Linked DNA regions of Rhinolophus ferrumequinum. The protein of the gene in region 3 interacts with the protein of the main gene of each other region in a pairwise test. Links are inferred from orthologs where the notes say so. Each region holds a gene or a part of one and is shown on either strand. Other genes may lie near its edges.

Region 1 (7,885 bases), about 11 Mb from region 3:
AAATGAGAGATCACAGAACAAAAAAGAAGTGGGGAAAAAAAATCCTTATTGGTATCCTCAGAGTCAACAAGATAATGCATTCAAAAAACAATAAGCTACTATGAAAAAGGAACAGAACAAATACACACTTGGAAATTAACATTTCAATTATGGAAATAAAAATGTTAAATAGGATTGGAAGATAAACTGAAGCCCTCTCCCAGAAATAAGAACAAAATGACACAGGAAGATAAAGACAAGAGATTCAGGGGCTCAAGATATCCATCATCAAACTAACAGGAACTTGGAAAGGAGAAGAGTAAAAGCAGAGAGGAAGAAATTCTCAAGTAAATGATACAAGACACTTTCCCAGAACTGAAGGACAAGGCCCCAGAAACAAAGAGCGTTTGGAATGGGACTCTCCATCCTCTGGCACTCTGGAAATGTCCTAAAACCAAAGAGGACCCTAAAAAGTCACGCGAAAGGAGGAAGGCGACTTGGCAGAAGGTTCTCATTGAAATGAAGAAAGCAAAGATTAAAACATGGAGTCCTGAACTCAGATGTATAATAAAGGAAAATATCAGGATACCTGTGGTGGCATAGAGTACTCAATCCAGATCAGAAAAAGAGAACAGAGGAATCGGGAGGAGGGGGAAGTTTGGAGAGACTTGACTCTATCCTTGAGAATTTGAAACAATTTAAGCAGCCAATAGGAGCAGACAATGCAAAGAAAAAGAAAGGCCAATACAAACAATAGGAAAAACAAATAGCTGTATAAGAAGGGTAAGTGCTACTTGGCTGCCGAGCAAACAACTTTTGCATTGTTACAAACAAAGAGTTAACTGAACACAGTGAATTCAGGGGCTGAAAGAGGTGGAATATGATCTGAAGAGCTAAACAGTATCATAACAGAAAGTCAAAAATGTGTATAATTAATAAAATACCAGCTTATCATTTAGAGCGATGGAAAATTTACTAAAGAAACAAAACGATGTAAAAGGTTGGACAGGCGACTACTACTTCTCATCATAAGTTTTTCATTGACATTTTATTATGTACCTTACTTCAAAATATTAAATATACGTATGTGTTATTTATTTTAAATGTTCACACCCTGGCTCTGTGTATCTTAGGCAAGTCACTTAAGCTCTGTGGACCTCAGTCACCTCATCTGTAAAACAGGACAGTCTCTACCTCACTGGGTGGTTGTGATGAGAGACATGGGAAATGATTAAGTCCCGGCCAACAGCACATGATCCCATAAATAACGACTGTTTTTTAAAAATTAAAACCAATGATGGCAGAACACAACATGAGAAGAACATATTCTGATTGCAACACAAAAGGTAAATGGAGCTGAATATAGAGAATTAATTTTACGGGCAGTTTTGGTGTTTTCTTTTACCACTGCATATTTGTACCCAGGGTGGTCAAAAGCTCCACGTTCATTGATCTAATCATGTACTTTCTGATGTAACCTTCCCTCCCTGAGGACCACTCAACTTTCCCACGTTATGTGTTTCCCAAACTTCCAGTTACAACTCCACCCTTAGAAAGGACTGTCTCCTCCCATCAACTAGTTTACCTTAGTGCTAGTTCTACCAACGCCCTCAGGCCTTGGAGTGCATTCCTCGGGGGTACAGTCAGGAAGAACAGGTAACTCGAAACAAAGAGCAATCACCTGTTTCCTTCCACAGACTCTAACCTGCCCAGGTAGGGCAGGCAAGCTCTCTGTCCTTGGAAGTTGCACTTGTTAACAGTTCTTATTTCTCCAATATGAAGACAATCCCTACCATCTCATCACTGAAAAAATCAGTCCTCTATTAATGTCTCCAATTCACTCACAGTGAGGTGCAATGTACATCGACTTTTTGCAGCCACGGTGGGGTGGGGTGGGTGGAGGGACTGCAAAGCAAAAAACTAAGGCCACATTTCAAAAGGATTACACCACAGAAATAGCAAAAAAAAGTATAGGGGTGAAAGAACCTGAAATGCTCCTTCATCGAGGCCGGGAGGAGAGCTGGATCCGGTCCTCTCCTAGGTCTACGGCAGTCTACTCCTAAAACGGCACCTTAGATCCCTACTTCCCTTTGTGAAACCGTAAGCAAATGAAGAGCACGCTGCTTGTGTTCCTGACTCTCGGGGCTCCATTTCACGTTAGGAACTCAGGGTGCCAACCGCGTCGGAAGTCGGCCTGACAGGAACTACTACACCGCAGGGTCTGTGGGTGCGTGTCCAGTTTTCCCATTTCCCAGAGAAAGGAGAGACCCAGCCTGCCCCTCCTGCAGCTGCAGGGCGGCCCTCGGGACGTCTGCGAGCACCTCTCGCAGGGCTGCGCCCCAAGTTTAAAGGCAGCTGCCGGCGGCCGGGCCTGTCACCCGCACCGTCCTAACCCGCGCACGGCATGACAATATGGGTGGGTGTGGGGGGGGTGCAAGTGCAAAAGAAAATTAATGAAATCAACAGTCTCCCGTGGGAAGAAAACGAGCCTGCGATCGGCCCTGTGACCCGGCCCCCCAGTATCGGGAATGTCGGGGGGACAGCGCCGTGCGCTCCCGGGAGGAGGCGCGGGGGGTCCTGGGGGCCGCAGAAACCGGGGGGCTGACAGGGAAGAGGGGGGCGGCGGGGCCTAGGGACGCTGAGGCCGAGGGGGCGTCCGCAGAGGTTGACAGAACTGAGGGAAGCGGCGGGGGAAGGACGGGTGACGGCAGGGCTCAGGCGGGCGGCGGGGCCCCGGGGCGCTAAGGGGGCTACCGGGCGGGGGTAGTGGGCCGTTGGCGGAACCGGCAGGGCGTCCCGGGAGGGGGCGGCGGGCGCGGCGGCCGGAGGAGGGTGCAGGGAGGAGGGAGGAGGGGAGATCTCGCTCTCGCTCTCGCCCCGCGGGAAGGGGGAGGTGGAGACGCGACCGGCTGCGGGAGCTGCAATTACCGTGTGGGCTGCGGAATTCTCGTGGTGTTTGTCGGGGAGATGCGATAATGGCGTCCGTCCTCGCGAGAGAAGCCGCCGCTCTGCGCAGGCGCCGCGAGTCCCTCCTCGAGGCCCTCTGCCCTGCACTATCTGCGCAGGCTCCCTGGGCGGGGCGCGCCGGGAGCGGAGGAGGGACCAGAGGCAGGGCCTGCCGCTTGAGGCCTCCCGCGCGCGCTTTCGCCCGCGCCGTCGACCGCCGGGCATGCGCACGCGTTGTACTCCAGTGCCACAGTTTGGGCCCCGAGGAGCTCTCACTTCCCCATGGTGTGTTAGGGCTCCTCGTTAACCCTTGAAAAATCGTGTCGGTGGGCCGTTGGAGGACTTTGCATTTTCTTTGAGACTAAATGAATTAAGAATTAGCTCCCCACCAACGACTACATATCCCGGAGGGCCCTGCGCGAACCGCGAGCAGTACATTCTGGGACTCGTAGTCCCGGCCTCTGCGCCTTGCCTGCCGGTACTTGTAGTCTCTCCATACTCCGGTAGCCCGGCCCGCGCCGTGGGCTGCTGGGACTTGTAGTTCAGATGCACTGGATCGCTGCGCCCCGCGTGTGCTGCTGCTTCCGCTCTGGCGGGGTTCCCCCAAAGAATAGGTGGTGCACAAGGGTCCCCAGTGTCATGTGCACAGTCTTGAGTGCACGCTCGTGGGGGAAGACTAAATTATATGTGATATATGTTTTGTATATAATTAATGTTATATATTGCATATAATCCGCGCCTATGTAAATATGAACTATTATATATGAATATAAATATAGTATGAATGTAAATATATTTATAGACCATAAATGCATGCTTGTGGGTACTCCTAGGAAAAAATTCCCAAACTATAGACAGCAATGTTTTTCCTACTTATTGTCATCACCATTGCTTTTCGTGCGTGCTGGGATTACTATTACTTTTCATTTTTCTTCTTTATACTTGCCTCTGTTTTCTGAGTTGTTTACTTTGAGCAAGAATTCCTTTGATCACCCAAACACAAGAGGATGGAGCTATTTTCATTTAGAAAATGAAATGCTTTACCATGAGTTTCCTGCTCATTTCTCTTTTGCCAATGATAAAAACTTGATTCAGGGCAGCAACCAGTTGTGCAACCTTGGGCAACTTTGTTGAGTTAGCCTCTCTTCCAGAGTTAACACTGGGGTTCTGCTGAGGCTGGTTACTGGATTCCTTTACCGAAAAAGTGCCTTAAAGGAATTCCAAAGAACCACAGAAGGTCAGCGCTGGAAAAGATATTGATATGGAAACGAGGTATGTCCTATGTAGAGATGAGAAGTCCAAAGAGATTGGAAAAATTGCTCAGCAAGGTCACAGGGCTGGAAAGAGACGAAAAGCACTGTGTGGAATCCAAAACACCTTGGTCTAGAGTCTACAGTCCGCTCACAGTGGGGAAAAATGATTGCAAAAGCTAACTACAAAAATCCTGAGAGAGGCATGGGGGCAAAAAAGTTCTTCTGTCCCCACCTCAGCCTCAGTTAGAGCCAAATCTAATACTTAACTATGTAAGCAGTCTTAACATTCTGCATCTGACTAGAAAGCAGATAAACGTAGGGTGATATTTTTCATATTATTTCAAAATATTCGAAAGTCCTCACCAGTAGCTCCCTTGCAGGTGTGGCTTTGCCAACACTCCTTCCTGCCCAGGGCTTGCACACTGCTTGGCTCCAAGCAACTGCTTACTGATCAGAAATTAAACCAATCAAAATTATAATTGTGCATATGCTGGAATCATTGACTTCTCTTTTTTGTTTTCAATGTTTCCAATTTACTTATTTTACATTTTGCTGCCCAGGAAGCTCAAATAGAGGAAGGTGTTCAATATTCACATCTCAGTGATTAACCATGGTTTTTTTCAAAAAACATTAAATCGCTTGAAATGGACCAAGACAGCTGTCTACCAATAAAGGGTCACTTCGGGACCACACAGGAGCCTTCTCCTTACCCATCAATTCATAGAAGACTCCAGTGGAAGTCCCCGGAGTTAATTAAGCTGAAGTCACGTTTGGTGGGCGGTTTATTAGACGAGAAGTGCACTCTGATCTGGATGGCACCAGAAATGGGGGACCCCTTAGATGTAGGTATGCAGGGCATTTGCAAAGATCTCAAAGGCCCCTTCTTCAAAACCACGCAATGCCCACTTTAAGCAAAATCTGGAATCCTTCAGAACAGTCCTGTTCTTGAATATGTCAGTAGGACGGAGAAAAGTGAATTATTCATGAAGTCCTTCGTTGTCCAAGAAAGCTTAGAAAATTGAGCTTAGAAAGCTTAGAAAGCTGTTCATAAAAGCAGAGCCATAAGAACAGGCCTGAACTGGGCTTTGAATCTAAGCTCTCTTGTGGCAAGTTGCTGAGGCTTCAAACTCACAGAATATGAGGCCCTGGGAAGGATTCAATGTCGCAGAGTTTCTAAAGGGTTTAGCAGAGGGCCTCACTCAGAAAATGGTAACGTTACTCGTGCTGAGTTACCATGCCTTGGGCCAGGCACATCTTGTTTTAATCCCTATTCTTTATGAAAAACATAAAGTTCAGAGAGATTAAGCAACACACCCAAGGTCACAGCCGTAGCAGTACAAGAACTTTGAGGAGGAAGTTTGTGACATGTGATGGAAAAGGTAATTAGGATGTGGGCCGTGTGGGTTGCAGGTCCTCGTTGGCCAAGGGATGAGTTTTGTCTTGATCCTAAAAATAATGGGAAGCCTTTACAAGGTTAGGGGCAAGGGTAGATATGATCATATTTGTGTTTTCAAAAGTCACTCTGGCTGGAATGTTGGAAAATCAATTGGGGGTGGGGAGGAAAGGTCCTGAGTGGATTTGGGGAGAGCACTTGAGGAAACGATGGCAGGCTTCCAGGCAAGAGACGATGGAGTCCTGAATTAAGGTGATCCTAGTGGAGACCAACATGCAGAGAAGTGGACAGACTCAAAGAGTGAAATCAATAGGACATGAGCATGAATCCAATACTGAGAGCAGGGTAAGGGAAGGAGGGCAGCTCGGATGCCTCATGGGTCTGCAAACATGTAAAACTGGATAGACAGAGTACCGTTCCCTGGGATGGGGAACTCTGAGCACCACTGGCCGCTGCCCACCATTGCTGTGGAGGCTGCCAGGAACAACGCTTCTTTGTTATTGGTCCAGCCAAGGGGGCCTCTTCTGTAATTCTTCCCCCATCCTCCGACACTTTCCTCTACTTCACACAAAGGCCCCCTTTGTGTAGGTTCCTAGCACCTGCTGGGAAAAGATCAGGTTGGGGGTGATCTGGAGTCCTGGAGATAGAGCCCACAAAATAATTCAGGGGAAATGGGAAGAAGGAGCACCCAGCACCCACTATAGTCCCATCTCCCCCTGGCATGAATTCCACTCAGACCTGGGACAGGCCACAGCCATACGTTCTGGGCCATCAAGAGATTTAAAGATTAGGAAGTGATGTCAGCCACAGGGCAGAATAGGGGTCCTCCATCATATCCTCCCTCAGCAGCAATAATTTGGCATCCATCCATGGACAGAAGTACCTTGGTGGGAACTTTGGGATGCCTAGGAGACTGTGAATCCCTGGTGGAACCCCAAATCATAAGGGCCATTTTGAGTCAGCTGCCACCGACTCAAATGGAAGACTCACTAACCTTGGTCTCAGCTACAGACACAGAAACAGACCATCCCCCTGTGGACGCGGCTACAGCTCCATTTGGCCTTGGTCCTGTCACCAGCATCATCCGCCGAGGAGGGATCCAGCAAGAATCAGACCTACACATGCCCCAGATAACAGGCCCAATGTATTTGGTTCTGGCTGTGGACCCTGAAGTAGCTTGGGACCCAACTCTAGCCCTTCTTAGCTGTGGTCCAGGGACAGTCCCAAGCCTCCCAGGGGGAGACACACCGTCCGTAATGTGATACACCACATTAACAAAATAGAAGATAAAAATTACATCATCTCAATAGATGCAAAAAAAAAAAAAGCATTTGACAAATTCAACATCCTTCATAATTAAACCTCTCAATAAATAAGGTACAGAAGGAACAAACTTCAACAAAATAAAGACCATATAACCGACAGCTAACATCATGCTCAATGGTGAAAGGTTGAAAGCTTTTCCTTTAAGTTCAGGATCTTAGTGCCCATTCTTATTCAACATAATAATGGAAGTCCTAGTCAGAACAATTAGGCAAGAGAAAGAAATAAAATGCATGCAAATCAGAAAAAAAGTTAAATTGTCTTTGTTTGCAGGTTACATGATCTTATACATAGAAAATGCTGGTAAAGACTCCATCAAGAAACACTTAGAACTAATAAATGAATTCAGTCAAGTTTCAGGATACAAAATCAACGTGCAAAAAATCAGTTGCATTTCTATGCACTAACAATGAACTATCTGAAAAAGAAATGAAAATCATCCCATTTACAATAGCACCAAAATAATAAAACACAAGAATTAATTTAACCAAGGAGGTGAAAGATCTATACACTGAAAACTTTAAGATGTTGATGAAAGAAATTAAAGAAAACACAATAAATGGAAAGATATACTACCTTTATGGATCAGGAGAATTAATATTGTTAAAATGTTCATACTATCCAAAGCCATTTACAGATTCAATGTAATCTCTATCAAAATTCCAATGGCATTTTCCACAGAAATAGAAAAAAACAATCCTAAAATTCATATGGAACCAGAGAAGACCCCAAATAGTAATCCTGAGAAAAAGGAACAAAGCTGAAGGCATCACACTTTCTGATTTCAAACTATATCACAAAGTTATAGTAATCAAAACAGTATAATACTGGTGTAAAAATGGACCCATAGACCAATGGAACAATGTATAGAGAGCTCAGAAATAAAACCACACGTATTTAGGCAACTAATCTTTGACAAGGGCACCAAGAATATGCAATAGGGAAAGAATAGTCTCGTCAATAAGTGGTGTTGGGAAAACTGAATATTCAC
Region 2 (7,792 bases), on a different chromosome or scaffold from region 3:
TTGGATTCCACTTGGTAATACTTTATAATGTTTGCATCAATATTCAAAAGTGAGACTGTTTTTAGTACTACTTTTGCTAGATTTTACCAGCTTCATAAAGAAAACTGTATTGTAGCTTCATAAAGAAAACTGGAAAGCTTTCTTTCTTCCCATGTGAACTAGAACAATTTCATTATCAGGACCTCTTGATAGTGGGAAAAAAATTACTCATGAAATAATGTGGGCTTGGAGCATTTTTTAAGGAGTCGCGCTCTAACTTTCTTAATTTATTTTGACTTTCAAATTTATTACCATGGAGATAACCCAAAGGTACATCTGGGTTTACCTTTTTCATTCCTAATTTTGTGTTTTTGTATTATCCCTTTTCACCTGGATTCAACTAGCAGTTTAGTCTACTGTTTTGGTTTTCCCTTCCAAAGAACCAGCTCTTACATAATTTCTGACTATATTTTTTCCTTTTAATACATTAATATCAGTGTTACTTTTACTCTTCTTTTTTTCCTTAGGTTTATTTTACTGTTTCCTTTTTAATATTCTTAAGTAGAATATTTGATCTATTTTTATTTCTAAGTTATTCAGGATATTAATTTTATTACAAATTTGGCTTTGGCTACAATATATGGATATACATTGATGTCATTATGTTATTTCTTTGATATTATGTAACTGTATTTTCAGTTTCCTCTTTGATACAATAAAGTATCCAGAGTTAATTTTATATTTTTAATTTTTGTAACCTGTTCATTAATCCATTCAGTCTAGAAAGTATTTAGTGTCCTTCTAGTTTGACTGCATCATAGTCAAAGAATGTGTTGTGTTCTAATACAACTTTCTAGAAAATACTGTGATTTGTTTTTTTTCCAGAATTATCATTAATTTCATCTCTAGTCATTTTGTTTTTAAAAAAATAAATTTCACAAATATTTAAAAGTTTTTCCTCACAGCGCATAGTATGGAGTATAAACCAAAACTTATAAATACCTCATTTCATCAAAGATGACACTGATTTTAAGATTCACTATTATGCCATGCTGATTTCAGAAATACTCAAATGTGCATCTTAGAGTCATGAAATACAGCATATTTCACGTCAATTTTCCTTTCACCAAAATCACCTAAAACAATGGCTTTCATAATTATTTTGTTTTTCCAGAATTGTCTTGTCTTTCATACTTGTTACCTTTTACAGAGCAGGGACTCCATGCTTGTCAAGGAATTTGAGAAAGTCAAGTGGCCCCCTTCCATCAGGACTATTTGAATTGGAAGGCAAGGCGTTTCAAAACAGCACATTTAATATTATAATAATTTTACACTTGAAATGTGAAAAATTGTTTTTATAAAATAGATCCTGCCCCTCTTTTGATAAGCATTCTCACTGTGGCATAATGCTTATCAAAAGGCGGGAGGACCTTTTTTTTTTAAGTTGAAAAACATAAATTCTGACCATCAATAGCTAGCTAGCTACCTATCAATTCTCGCACCTTCTTTCAAAGTTCATCAGAATACCTCTTCTCCACTGCCTAAATTTCGTTATTTTAATTTTGCCCAAGCAAATACTCAAGTGAGTGAAATGTAAAAGAAAAATGTGGTCAGAAATAATGCTTCTATAGCATTTCATCTCCACAGAATCGCTCTAGAGCAAGAAGAAAACTTGATTTCTGAAAATAATTTCCAAGCCCATTGTTCCTTTTTTCCTCCTGCAAAGGGCTAAAAGAATGAACAGAAATCCATCTTTTTCACAGAATCAAATCTAAATTACAGTTACTAATGCTCTTAACATTAAAAATTATTTACACTAAGATATAATCTTTATCAGGTTGCGTTCGTCTTCCAACTGTACTTGGAAAATCTAGTCAAAGTTCACTCAGTCTGGTCACCCACCTTCCTGACTGCTTAACCAAATGGATGTAGGGGAAAATATTTTAAATATTACTCTAGCTCTTCCATGGTCACTGACAGAAACAAAAACTTCTAAAAAACGTTGAAGAAATAGGCAACATCAATGGAAAATACACACTTAAAATATAAGGCACAGACCAATGAAATGGATAAATTCTGAGCGCACCTGCCCTGTACCTTACCAACATAACCCTCCACGTAGGCATAAGGTAGTGGCAGGAATCAGTTAGTGTGAAGAAATAAGTCTGGCTCCCCCTCTCCTCAAAATAATATTAAATCCACTCAGGACAGAAAGTGAATGACAAAAGACTGCGATGCCAACCCACTGAAGAGATCCGAGGCAAAAAAATGAACCACAACTATCCTGAAGAGCCAGCCTCACAGTCCAGAACTGGGTCACATTTCCCATACCTGTGCCCACCCCATCCTACCCCACCCCCTTCCAGGCCTAGCTAATGCAAAAATACGAAACTAAAACCCCGAACCTTCCTACCTCGGAGACCGAACCCCCTTCCCCCACCTTTCCCGCTAACAGATCTTCCCCACCTTCCAAACCCGGCCAGGGGGCGGGGAGAGAGGAGTTGCCAGAGAAAGACGCATCCCGCTTCCGGCCGCAGCCGCCTCCCGGGAGACTCCGCGGCACTCGGGACAGGGGCCGGGATCCAGGCCAACGGGAGTCGCAGGCCCCGTCCGCACCGCCCCCCAAGAGCCAGCCCACGGTGAGAAGACGGAAGATCACTTACTAATGGGAGCTCTGCCAAAAGTTCCCTGCCATGGAACACAGCTTGCCCTGATAAAAAAGCACCAGCCGGCGGAGCGGCCCGCGGAGCGACCATAGACCCAGCCCGCCCGGTAACCGCGCTCCTCAATCTGATCGGCTCGGCTCCGCTCCGCGGCGGCGACGGTAAGAGGAAGAGGATGGCACCCAATTCTTCTTGACGCCGGCCGGCAACACTCTACTGTGTAAAGCGGTTCCTATGGATAAAAGTTCCGGCCCGCCCCCGCCGTGGCGGAGGAAGCCGGCTGGGAGGAGACAGCCTGTGGTCGCGCTGAGATAGTGCCTGGGAACTAGGCTCTCGCGAGACCTTCGCGCCAGAGCTGGAGCCCGCGTGGTTTGGTCTACTGGGGGTAGTGCCAATTCGCGAGTGGGCAGGCAGTTGGGAAGCAACCCAGTTCAGGTTTTGTTTTTCCATTTTACACGCTTCCAAAGCGGCACGGTGGCATTGTGTTAAAGGTTTAATGAATTCAATTCTTTCTCCTGTGATTGGAAAGAGAAAGATTATTTTGGCCTCAAGGCACTACCAAAACCTACTGGCACCAAGCCGCATACGTTTTTCATGGAGTTCTTTTGGAGTGAGGCAGAAATATTTAGAGTAACAATGTTTTGTTTTTTTTAATGCCAGAGAACCACCAGTTTTGCAGAACAGCTAAAAGCATTTCTCTATTACATGTATATGTATATACACACATACATATTCACATATATGTACCAAATAGAAACATACAGCCAAAATTGCAATAATTTAATTTTACAAGATGAAATAATTTGTATTTTCCATTTCTGTTATCATTGTGATATTGCAATTATTGTAAAACTTATAATCATTTTTCCAAAGATTAGGCACACTTAAAAGTTACTGATAGGTCAGTGTTCTGAGGTAGCTTGGGACAGTATTTTTCACACTGTGGGTGGAGACCAATTAGGGGGTGGTGAAATTGAGAATGATAAGCATTTTCCTAAATTAAGTTTTAAATTATCAGGTATGTTAGAAATAAGGATATTATTTAAAATTTTTTGATTCTTGGCAGCCGGATGGCTCAGTTGGTTAGAGCGCAAGCTCTCAACAACAAGGTTGTTGGTTCAATTCCTGCGTGGGATGGTGGGCTGTGCCCCATGCAACTAATATTGAAAACTGCGACTGGACTTGGAGCTGAGCTGCACCCTCCACAACTAGATTGAAGGACAACGACTTGGAGCTGATGGGCCCTGGAGCAACACGCTGTTCCCCAATAGTCCCCAATTTTAAAAAAATGTATTTAAATAAAATAAAATTTTTGATTCAGTTACATGTTATATAGGTGCTATCTCAAGATATGAAATGTATTTTTAGTAACTTAACAAAAATATGTCACACGTCACTTCCATAAAGTCCTATAAAGTTTGATGTGGATTAGACTTCTCTCCTTGATGGTTGATCTTCAAGAATGCAGTATGTTTCCATCTTTCAACTACTCTCTCTTGGTTCTTTGCCTCCAGGCTTAAAATCTTTCTAGAGAGAATGCCTAGGACTCTCTCACTGGCTCTTAATCAGCGTCAAGAGACTTAAACCTGAAACAACAATCACTTCTTCTCTTCCCATTGTCCAGAATAGGAACATGCTTCTAACTTAACTGCAAGGGAGGCTGAGAAATGTAGGGGAGCCGGTAGTATATTTGATGAACACTACTGTCTGCTACACTGCAGATCACAGTCAAAAAAAGTTTGAAAGGTAGTAACTTAAGAAACACCAAACCCAAAAGATATATGAAAAAATGCTCAACTTCACTAGCTATTAGGGAAATGCAACTCAAAACCATAATGAGATACCACCTCACACCTGTTAGAATGGCTACTACCAACAAGATAAGTAAAACAAGTGTTGAAGAGGTTGTGGAGAAAAAGGAACCCTCATACACTGGCGGTGGGAATGCAGATTGGTGCAGCCAGTATGGAAAACAGTATGGAGTTTTCTCAAAAAATTAAGAATAGAATTACCCAGCAATCCCTCTTCTGGGTATCTACCCCAAAAGTCCGAAAACATTTATCTATAAAGATACATGTACCTCTCTGTTCATTGCAGCATTATTCACAGTGGCCAAGACATGGAAACTACCAAAGTGTTCTTCAATAAATGATTATTTAATGAAGATGTGGTACATATACACAATGGAATATTACTCGGCCATGAAAAAAGATGAAATACCACCATTTGCGACATGGATGGATCTTGAGATTATTGTGCTAAGCAAAATATGTCAGAAAAATTTGAGAACCATATGATTTCACTCATGTGGCATATAAAACTGAAAGCAACAAACGAACGAGATAAACATACAAACAAAAAAAAACACAGACACAGACAACAGTTTAGTGGTTACCAGAGGGTAGGGGGGGAGGAGATGGTAGAAGAGGGGAAAAGGGACAAAGTGTATGGTGATGGAAGGAGAACTGACTCTGGGTGGTGAACACACAATGCAGTATATAGATGATGTATTATAGAACACTTAAACCTTAAAACCTATATAATTTTACTAACCAATGTCACCTCCAATAAGATTAATAAAGATAAAAAGTAATAAAGAGGTTGGCACTAAAAAAAAAGCAAAGAAAGAAGGAAAGAAAGACCAGGCTCTAGGCCACTAGGCTACTTCATAAAGGTTCAGAATTTCTTTAATTCTCTCAGAGGTTGTCAGCCTGACATCATCCAGAAGATAAGGGTACTGCGACAAATCAGTATTATTAAATGTTTTGTTTTATGTGCCCCCATTACACTATTTCTTTCACTAGACAAACATTGTTTCATGCCTAATTCTGCACTCTTCTTCCCACAAAACTGAGTTCCTTCATCTTGGTATCACCATTCATTGAGGGCATAACACATAGGCACAGCAGGCAATGGTATTTGGGGAGTAGGGTGCTTAAAGAAAAAATGTAACATATGGACATAAAATCAGGTTGAAAAGTAAGTATTTAGAATGCAAAAAGAAATCATAACAAATTACTACAGCCTTGAAGATTCAGGTCCTTCTGTGAACTGTTCTAGGCAATTTAACCAGAAATATTACATAGAAATGCTTCCCACCTGCAACCTGGTTTCTGCTTCCCACCCAGAATTCCAAATGCACAACAGCGCTGGTGCTCCCAGTGGCCACTCAAGTCAGGGGTCTGAAGTTTTGGCGTTACTATTTTTAGACTAAATTGTCACTGAGGGTACTCCAGAAGGCAGGTTGAATTGAATGATTTGAACCAAAAGCTAACTTTATTTAAGGATATCTGGTGGAATACAGCAATGTACAAAAGCTGTTAAAATGCCTAGATATCAACTTATCTGGATGCAAAAGATGATAGGCCATGTAGGTTTGTTTCTTTTTGCTGATAGCTTTTTGTGTTGTTTTTTTTTTTTAACTTTTCTTTATAGTTTTAGGTTTTTTTTTTTTATTGTTTCTCAGTCCTCATACTTGTGTGATTTAAACTTACTGGAATCTATTAATCAATCTTGTGCCTTGTAATTTTTTATTTATCTTATGCTTTTTAAATAAGGATGTGATTAATAAATTCTTGATACAAATGTTGATTCTTCTGTGACAAAAAAATATTTATCCTTTTTCCTTTTTACAATGCTTTCTCCAGCACCACGAATACTATTTCTCAGAGCCTAGAAATTTAGGGGCTTTATCAAGCTCTCTTACCTAGTTAGTGGCAAGAACAGCTAGAATCCATTTCTTCTGATTCCCAGGGCAATGAGCTTTTCACCCAACTGTACAGCTTCAATAGAACTATAACGACTAAACTACTATAGACACATTATTTCAGGTTTGTAGTAGAAGTTTCTCCTCCCAAACACTATTAGTGAAGACCATCTTCTCACTTTTAATTAAATTATTATTGTAATTTGCTGGGGTACTAACAGTCTTCGTTGTGAAAATATCATCTCCTCTATATTCATTCATTATGTCTTCGTTTATTTTAACTCCTGGATACTTTAGTTAAGACGAGTAAACCTCTAACTTATGGTAAAGTGTACTAGTTAGAAATTCAGTCTCTAAACTACACTGATCAAGTTCAACTAATAGCTCTGCCGCTTGCTAGTTGTATAACTGCCTTAGTCAGTTCAGACTTCTATAACAGAATACCATAGTCTGTATGGCTTAAATAACAAACATTTATTTCTCACAGTTCTGGAGACTGGATAGTCCAAGATCAAAGTGCCAGCCCGGGTCCTGGCACCTGGTGATTCGGTTTCTGGTGAGAAACATCTTTCTGGCTTGCAGAAGACTGCCTTCTTGCTGAATTCTCACATGGCAGAGAGAATAAGGACACTAATTCCATCACGGGCGCCCAAGCTTCATGTAAACCTAACTCACAAAGACCCCACCTCCAAATACCATCACATTGGGGATTAAGGCTTCAACAGATGAAGGGAAGGGGGACATACATTCAATCTATACTGGTAACATTAGTCAAAATACTTAGCTATTCTGCACTTCAGTTTCTTCATCTGGAAAACAGGGATAATCATATTTCCTAAGTTATAGGGTTATGGTGAGGTTTAGATAAACCTTAAATGAAATTAGAATAGTGCCTGACATATGGTAAGAGCTCAATAGCTCTTACCTTTTACTTTTCTTTTACTCTTAGCCTATATTATTCAAAACAAGTTTAGATTCTACCGTATGAACTATAAAGATGTCCATTGTCACAGATAAGGAAAATAGTACTACCTTGATACAAAGAAAGCAGTGTGTGTGTTTTCTCTATTTTCTTGCTCCCAACTGGACCATGTTATCTCCCCATTCTGTGTTTACTTCATACTCTCTGCTCATGATAACTTAGTTTGTATGCTTTTCAGCTTTTCTCTATGTCATGAACTTTCAGCTTCACTTCCACCCTTCTACATTCTCTACTTATGTATTTCTTTTGTTTGCTTGTTTTTTTGTATAGATAGAGGTCACACACAAAAAGTACTTGTCTGGGGTTCCACACACCGAGAGGCAGCCCTGATTAGAATTACCGCGGTGGGTTCAGAGTGATGCTCCTTAACAATGACTGCACTTTAGAATTACTTGAGTGCTTCTACAACATTCTATTTCTCTAACTCTATTCAGACCAAATGTCTTTTGTAGAACAAATACA
Region 3 (6,942 bases):
TTCTGGAGTCTGGGGCTCAGGTTAGAATGGGTGTGAGACGGAGCTGGGTTGAGAGAATGACTAAGCCCCCCTGAGCTGTCCCAGGAAAGGGAGGAAAGGGGTGGGTTGTGTTGAGCTACGCTGCTCATGCAGTCAAAGCGTCCACAAGCCTTGGAAGGATGACTGGCTCCTGCTGCTCTCTCAGAGGTGCTGGCCAAATATCTAAGCTGTGGGCAGGCGGGTGTAGAGCAGAGATGGAGGGAGAGGCTACAAGACCTGAAACTTCCAGGCACTGTGATCCTTGTAGTCCAGAGGATCCATGGGGTTGTAGGCGAATTTCCAGGTGCCTGTGGGGTCCTTGAATTCCAAGCTGTCCACAGGGCTGTAGGCGCTGTAGCTCTGGCCTGACAAAGATGTGGGGGACTGGGCCAGGGAGGGTCCCACGGAGGGGCCCGAAAGGGGGCTGAGAGCCGGGCCCCCCAACTGGGGCACCATGGGAGAAAGGTAGGGATCCAGGCCACTGAAGTAGGAGCTGGGAGACCCATAGGCTGAGGGGGAAGAGCAGAAAGCAGAGGCTGGGGCGTAGGTCATGGTGTAGGGGGCTGAGGGGAGAGAAGGCCCTGAGGCCACGGGCAAAGGGGACTCTGAGGCCGGACTCCAAATGGACACAGTGGCCACTGCTGCGGTGGGAGAGCCTGAGGGGCCAGCTAGAGGGGGGCTGTAGGAATCTGAGATGCCCAGGGGGTCTGGACAGACATCCGTGGGGGCTCTTGGGGACGTGCCTGCCTTCCTCTTGGCAGGACGAGCCTTGGCCTGTGTCCCTGGAGGCTGCTGCTGCTGTTTCTGCTGCTGCCGCTGCTGCCTACATTTAGCTCTGCGGTTCTTGAACCAAACCTGGGGGGTAAGAGGGGAACGCCGGTGGGTGAGTGGGGAGGAGACCCAGGAGAGCCCCCATGGTGCCCAGAAATGATGTTGTTTATGGGTGAGACACACCAGAGTCACACCGCTCCACTTTGCAATCAGTTATAGGTCACTCCATCCATCCACTTATCCACTAATCCATCCATCTATCTATCCACCCACCTTACTGTCTGTCCACCCATCCACCCACTCATTCATACATACAACCATACATACATACATTCATACAAACACACGTGTCCATATCCATTCATCTAATCATTCACATATACATAAATACATTCATTTATCTAATACATACGTAAATCATATATAAATATACACATACAGTTGTACACACACACAGACACACACACACATATTTAACCATCCAGTCATGAGTACATATATGCAATCATACAAGCAAACACATACACATTGGTACATGAATCATACATACATCCAGTCATACAAATATCTAATCATACAAATACACACACATATACACATTCATCCATTCAATCAGTTAATAAACATGCATTAACCGTCTTCTACTGCTCTGGGGATATACATCAGTGGAGCTGACATTCTACTTGAGAGAGACAGATTATAAACAGTAAGTAAAGCACATAATATTTTAGAAGGTGATAAATACTACGGAAGAACCGATTGAGCAGGAAAGAGGGAGCAGTAGAGTTGGGGGATGTGGGGAAAGATTGCAACTTTAAATTCGACTGCCGGTGGAGGCCTCAATGACTTGATTGGTGGGTAAAGACTTGAACAAGGTGATGGGGAATAAACGTTCCAGGCAGAGAGAACAGAGAGTGCAAAGGTCCTGAGGCAGGAGTGTGCTTGGTGGGCATGTTAGAGGAAAACCGAGGGGCCAGTTGGCTGGAGTGGAGCGAGAAGGGTAGGAACACTGAGATGAGGCCAGTGAAATAATGGGGGTAAAGGATTATTCTGGCCTTTCATGACTGTGGCTGCTACTCTGTGGCTTCTTTCTCCTCCCATCACTCTGGGCCCCAAGAAGGGCCGGAACATCCCACCTGAACCCTGGACTCAGGCAGGTTAATCTTCAGGGCCACCTCCTCACGGGCATACACATCCGGGTACTGGGTCTTGGCAAACAGAGCCTCCAGTTCCTCTAGCTGGCTCCGGGTGAAGGTGGTCCGCTCCCGCCGCTGCTTTCTCGGGGCGCCTGGGTGGGGAAAAGGAAAACGGGACCCTTAGGTGACCTGGCTCCATTCTCTTCATCTGCTGGTGTGAGGCCCTGAGGGTGTGTGGGACGCTCAGAAACCCCTTCTGTGTGTTCATGTGCCCTACCCTTCTGGACCTTACTCCGCCTCCCTGGGTATGGGGTCCCTTTTTGCCTGTCATTTTGGGGCTCATGCCTCACCCCGAGGACACCTGGCTTTAGCCATGTAAGGAGGTGTATGAATTTGTTTTTTGGTCCCTTTCTAATTTCTTAGACACTAAAACATGACACTGGATATTCAACCATTTCTAGCCTATACAACTGGCAGATGCATAATGTTCAACTTAATGAAAAAACAAAACAAACACCAAACAGCTAAATAATAATGCCACCAAAAATACAAAGAGAGCTCACTTCTCTTAGAAATAAAGCATTTCTGGGCCGGATGGCTCAGTTTGTTAGAGCATGAGCTCTCAACAACAAGGTTGCTGGCCTGCAACTAAAGATTGAAAACGGCGCCTGGACTTGGAGCTGAGCTGCGTCCTCCACAACTAGATTGAAGGGCACCGACTTGGAGCTGATGGGCCCTGGAGAAACAAACTGTTCCCAATATTGCCCAATAAAATTTATTTTTAAAAAAAGAAATAAAGCATTTCTAACAGATGGAAATTCCTCTGGTTCCTCTTCCAGATCACTTCCCTCTCCTTCACTCCTGATGGAAACACTATCCTAAATTTCTTTGAATGTCTGTATACTTTCCTGAATCCCTAAGTAGTGTTTTGCATGGAGTAGTGTTTTGCATTTGCATATGACCCTGATGTCACCTCTGTAAGTGCCCGTCTTTTTCCTGAGGGCAAGGGACTCCAGAAGCCCCCAGTAGATGGGGGCCAGTCTGGGATGGCAGGGACGACTGTACTCACTGGGGTAGGAAACAGCTTGGTGCATCAAATCCACACTGGAGCCACTCAGAGCCAAGGCATTGACGGAATAGTGGGGCCCCGGGTTCATATACGCCATCATGGTCTTCCTGGACGCTGGTGCCCAGGTCAGTGGGCCTGCAAGAGAAGGGGTGCGGGGCTCAAACACTCCCAGTTACCGGATGGTGACAGGCAGGCTTAGGATCAAATCCTGCCTCAGTCTCTTCTTAGCTATGGGACCTTGGGCAATTTCTCTCTCCGCTTCGTGCCTCAGTTTCCCCACCTATAATAAATGGCCCGCTGCTTAGGGTCCTCAAAGCTTCACTGAGACGCTGTCCGTTAAGCAGAGCTGAGGCTGTAATGGACATCTTAAATAGAAGCTCTACTTCCTGCTCTGTCCTTTAAAAAATCTGATCCTGCCATTTCCCTCTCCAAAATCTTTTCTTTCTGTGACCCGGGAAAAGATGTTCAACCTCACGCAGAATCACAGAGAGTAGAGTGAGCAGCGGTCCCCGGTCTGACTGAAACAGAAGCTGTTTTAAAGATGTGGGGCTTCCGGGTGAAACCTGGGAGAGTCCCTGACAAACCAGGCTGGTGGCTCACCCTAATTGTATTAAAACGTCAGCAAGCGATGATCTGCCACGACCATTTTTGACCCATCGGGTTGTATGTATGTACTAGACGGATGGATACGGTTATGTGTGTATAAATGATTAGATGAATGGATGTAGGGATGGATACATGTGTGTTTGTAATGACTATGTGTATGAACAATTAATGGGGAAATAACTGTATTTCTGTTCCTTGAATTCATCTCTGAAATAGCTGGTTTCCAATAACTTAAATCAATCTTTGACCTGTTTATTACGTATGTGTCTTAGAGTCAGGATTTAAAATATTTTAAAATTACACTTTGACAATAAGGGTGTGTGTGAGGGTGTATGTGTGTAGTAGAGGTCATATACTACCAAATTATATGTAATAGTAACTATATAACATATACGTGTACAATATATATTATATATAGTCAAAGAAAAAATATGGTGCTGAGCAGTATGTATAGCATGTTACCATTTGTGATTTTTAAAACAAGGCAACGACAATAATAATATTATTATTATTATAGATGCATGTCTATGCATTGAAAATTTCCAGGAAGGACACAAGATAGGGTAAAAGTGGCTGCCTTGGGAGGTGTGCTATATCCATACATTATTTTTGCAGTTTGGGTTACTTTTTAACCATATATATGTGTCACCTTTTCAAAAACAAAATATAAACTCTAAAAAGAAAAGAAAAAGACATGAGAACATTTCCATGGCCCCTATCCGCTATTGCCCTCTTTAAGATGTCTCAGAAAACCTTGCAGCCTCTCTGGACACACACAAGCTGTTCCCTGGGCCAGAAATGCCTCTCCCCAGTTCAAAACCCCCTCTCACCAGCTAACCCCTTTCCTCACCCACGATTTCAGCTCAAACATCACTTCCCAAGGAAGCTGTCCCACACTCTCAGCTGGATCTCTCTCTCTCTCTCTCTCTCTCACACACACACACACACACATTTTCTCTCTCCTGTTCTTCAAGACCTTGCATGTATTAAATATGACACATTTTAACTTTGTTTACCTGTCTCCCCCAGCTCTGTCAGAGGAGTGCAAGGACTAGGTGTATTTCCATCCCTGCTCTGTCCCCAGCACCAATAAATATTTGAAAAGTAAGTAAATGAATAAAAAGTAGACGATATGTATTTCAGCTCCTACTCCTTTCTTCTCCCACTGCCCCATCCTTCTCATCTCTCACCTGAGAGACTTCTATTTATTATAAATTAAGGACCTACTGTCCATTCTGTAAATATTTTTCAAAGGTCCACCATGCTCTAGGAACTAGGGATGTGGCAAGAAATAAGACACGCAGCATCACTGCTCTCATGAGAGTGAACTTCCAGATTTGAGTCAGAAAAACAGACAGTGAACAAAGAAGTAGATGTTTTAGAAAATCAAAATGCTTTCAGAGAATTTCAAGAATTCCGGGAAAAATTAAATGGAAGAATATAATGACGAGGTTTGGAGTGAGGGTGACACATCTAATTCCGATAAAAGAACAGGGAAGAGCTCTCAGTAAGGAGGTGACCCTGGAGCTGCCAAGTTTCCTAGGCGTGGGAAGATCTCAAGGTCGAGGCTTTTCCAGGCAAAGGGAACAGCAGGTGCAAAGGCCTGGAGACTGGAATAGATTTTTCTTGTTGGAGGAGAAACAAGGTGTCCAGTGTGACTGGAGCAGAATGATCAAGGGGGAAAGTGGACTAAGATTATGCAGGACCTGATGGGAAGGTCACTGGGGGTCTCAGTGCTGATAATAATAAAAACAAAAACAACATTAAGTCCTAAGAATCTATTGGTGTCCTAAGCAGGACCCAATAATCTTCACCCTGGTCGTCACACCCTTGACTTGTCCTTCGCACTGAGCAGGGCTGACGTGTGCAACCAATAGGATATCGCAGAAATGACCCCATGACTTCCGATTCTGGCTCTCCTTCTGGAAGATGCTCGAGCAGTCCTATGGAGAAGTCTATGTGGTGAGACACTGAGGTCTCCTGCCAACAGCCATGGAGATGAGCCCCCCAGTCAAGCCTGCAAACGACTGCAGCTCTGGGCGACCTCTGAATCCAGCAGCAGACTCTGAGCCAGAATCACGCAGCGAGGCTACTCCTGGATTCCTGTCCCTCAGAAATCGTATGACATCGTACATGTTTACTGTTTCACATTTACCGTGAGGTTTGGGGACGACTTGTTACACAGCCATAGATAACTCATACACAAGCCTTTTCTATGCAGGATACCACTGAGTCCTCAGCACAACCAAGGGAGGTAGAGACTGCATTGCTATGATGCAGATGGGAACATCTTCAGGCTCAAGTGCCATGACTTGCCCAGGGTCACACACAGGCTGTGGTTGGGGACCCAGGATTCCTACCCTGGAGAATTCCTGAAGGCCCTGTCCTCCCAGTCCCCATCCTGGATTCCCTCTGTCCTCTCCCTCTTCTCCAGTTCCATCACAACTGCTAGACAGAGTAGAAACAAGCAGAACTGTGAACCTGTCCTGCTAGGGGCAATTTGCAGGACTTGGAGCAAAAGCATCGACTTCTGATGTCTTCACCATCGAATCCACACCAGGTTATCCCACTAAGTGGCTGGCCTTTGGGAAAGCCTAAATTTCTCTCACTGGGTGATCCCATCCTACAGGTAGGGAATCTGAGCCTCTGGGGGAGGCAGGTATTCACTCAAGATCAAGCAGCCGATAATGATAATGACCTCTAGGACGGAGGGTTTGCCAACTCCTCAGACACCTGATAAGAGCTTCATGGACAAGATGTCAGCAAAGAATAATAACAACAAAAATAAGATCAGACACCTGGTGGAAAGCTTTCTCTGGGTTTGGCAGCAAGCTGAGGACCTCAGGATTTCTTCCCTCGACAGACACTCAGCCGAAGGCTTTGTGTGTCTGATCTCAGGAGCACAGACAACACCTATTGTTGTTGACCTACTATATTGACCTTCTGTTGGTTCACTCGGCAGCCCTATTATCCTGCTGAGTGAATGTCGAGGCAATGGTGCTTCATGATCCCAAAGAGTGGGACGAGGGAGACCACTGTCCCTGCCTTGGGAATCAACCTGTGGGGCCATAGGCTGGTGCTCGGGGCTCTTGGGGTTCAGCAGCCGCTGGGTCCAGGTTCCCACCTGAGCAGGTGCTCTGACAGGTGAGCCTGAAGGCTGGCGCACACCTTGTGGATACTCATGGAGATCATCCATCCTACAGGTGGGGAAACTGAGCCTGAGGGGAGGGGAGGAAGTTACCTGCCCCAGGTCAGGCAGCTGATAATCCAGTGAAAACTTCCTACAAGGTAGGTCCTGTTATCATCCCACTTCACAGAGGAGGAAACGAAGGCTCCGAGAAG

Evidence for each region. The genes of interacting proteins can lie anywhere in the genome.
Region 1: the proteins of CRX (region 3) and BANP interact in binary tests that used the Homo sapiens proteins (3 or more experiments, as listed by UniProt). The two-hybrid records come from large-scale screens. The link is inferred for Rhinolophus ferrumequinum from reciprocal best matches to the Homo sapiens genes CRX and BANP.
Region 2: the proteins of CRX (region 3) and CCNC interact in binary tests that used the Homo sapiens proteins (3 or more experiments, as listed by UniProt). The two-hybrid records come from large-scale screens. The link is inferred for Rhinolophus ferrumequinum from reciprocal best matches to the Homo sapiens genes CRX and CCNC.

Annotation. Positions count from the first base shown.
Region 1 is NC_046298.1:32,663,165-32,671,049, reverse strand, and holds the start of BANP (protein BANP), read right to left. Parts: upstream 3,014-7,885; 5' UTR 2,908-3,013; intron 1-2,907. UniProt on the Homo sapiens protein: Controls V(D)J recombination during T-cell development by repressing T-cell receptor (TCR) beta enhancer function. Binds to scaffold/matrix attachment region beta (S/MARbeta), an ATC-rich DNA sequence located upstream of the TCR beta enhancer.
Region 2 is NC_046286.1:54,286,916-54,294,707, forward strand, and holds the start of CCNC (cyclin-C), read right to left. Parts: upstream 3,014-7,792; 5' UTR 2,675-3,013; coding exon 2,643-2,674; intron 1-2,642. UniProt on the Homo sapiens protein: Component of the Mediator complex, a coactivator involved in regulated gene transcription of nearly all RNA polymerase II-dependent genes.
Region 3 is NC_046298.1:43,662,130-43,669,071, forward strand, and holds CRX (cone-rod homeobox protein), read right to left. Parts: upstream 3,095-6,942; coding exon 2,995-3,094; intron 2,078-2,994; coding exon 1,926-2,077; intron 874-1,925; coding exon 247-873; downstream 1-246. UniProt on the Homo sapiens protein: Transcription factor that binds and transactivates the sequence 5'-TAATC[CA]-3' which is found upstream of several photoreceptor-specific genes, including the opsin genes.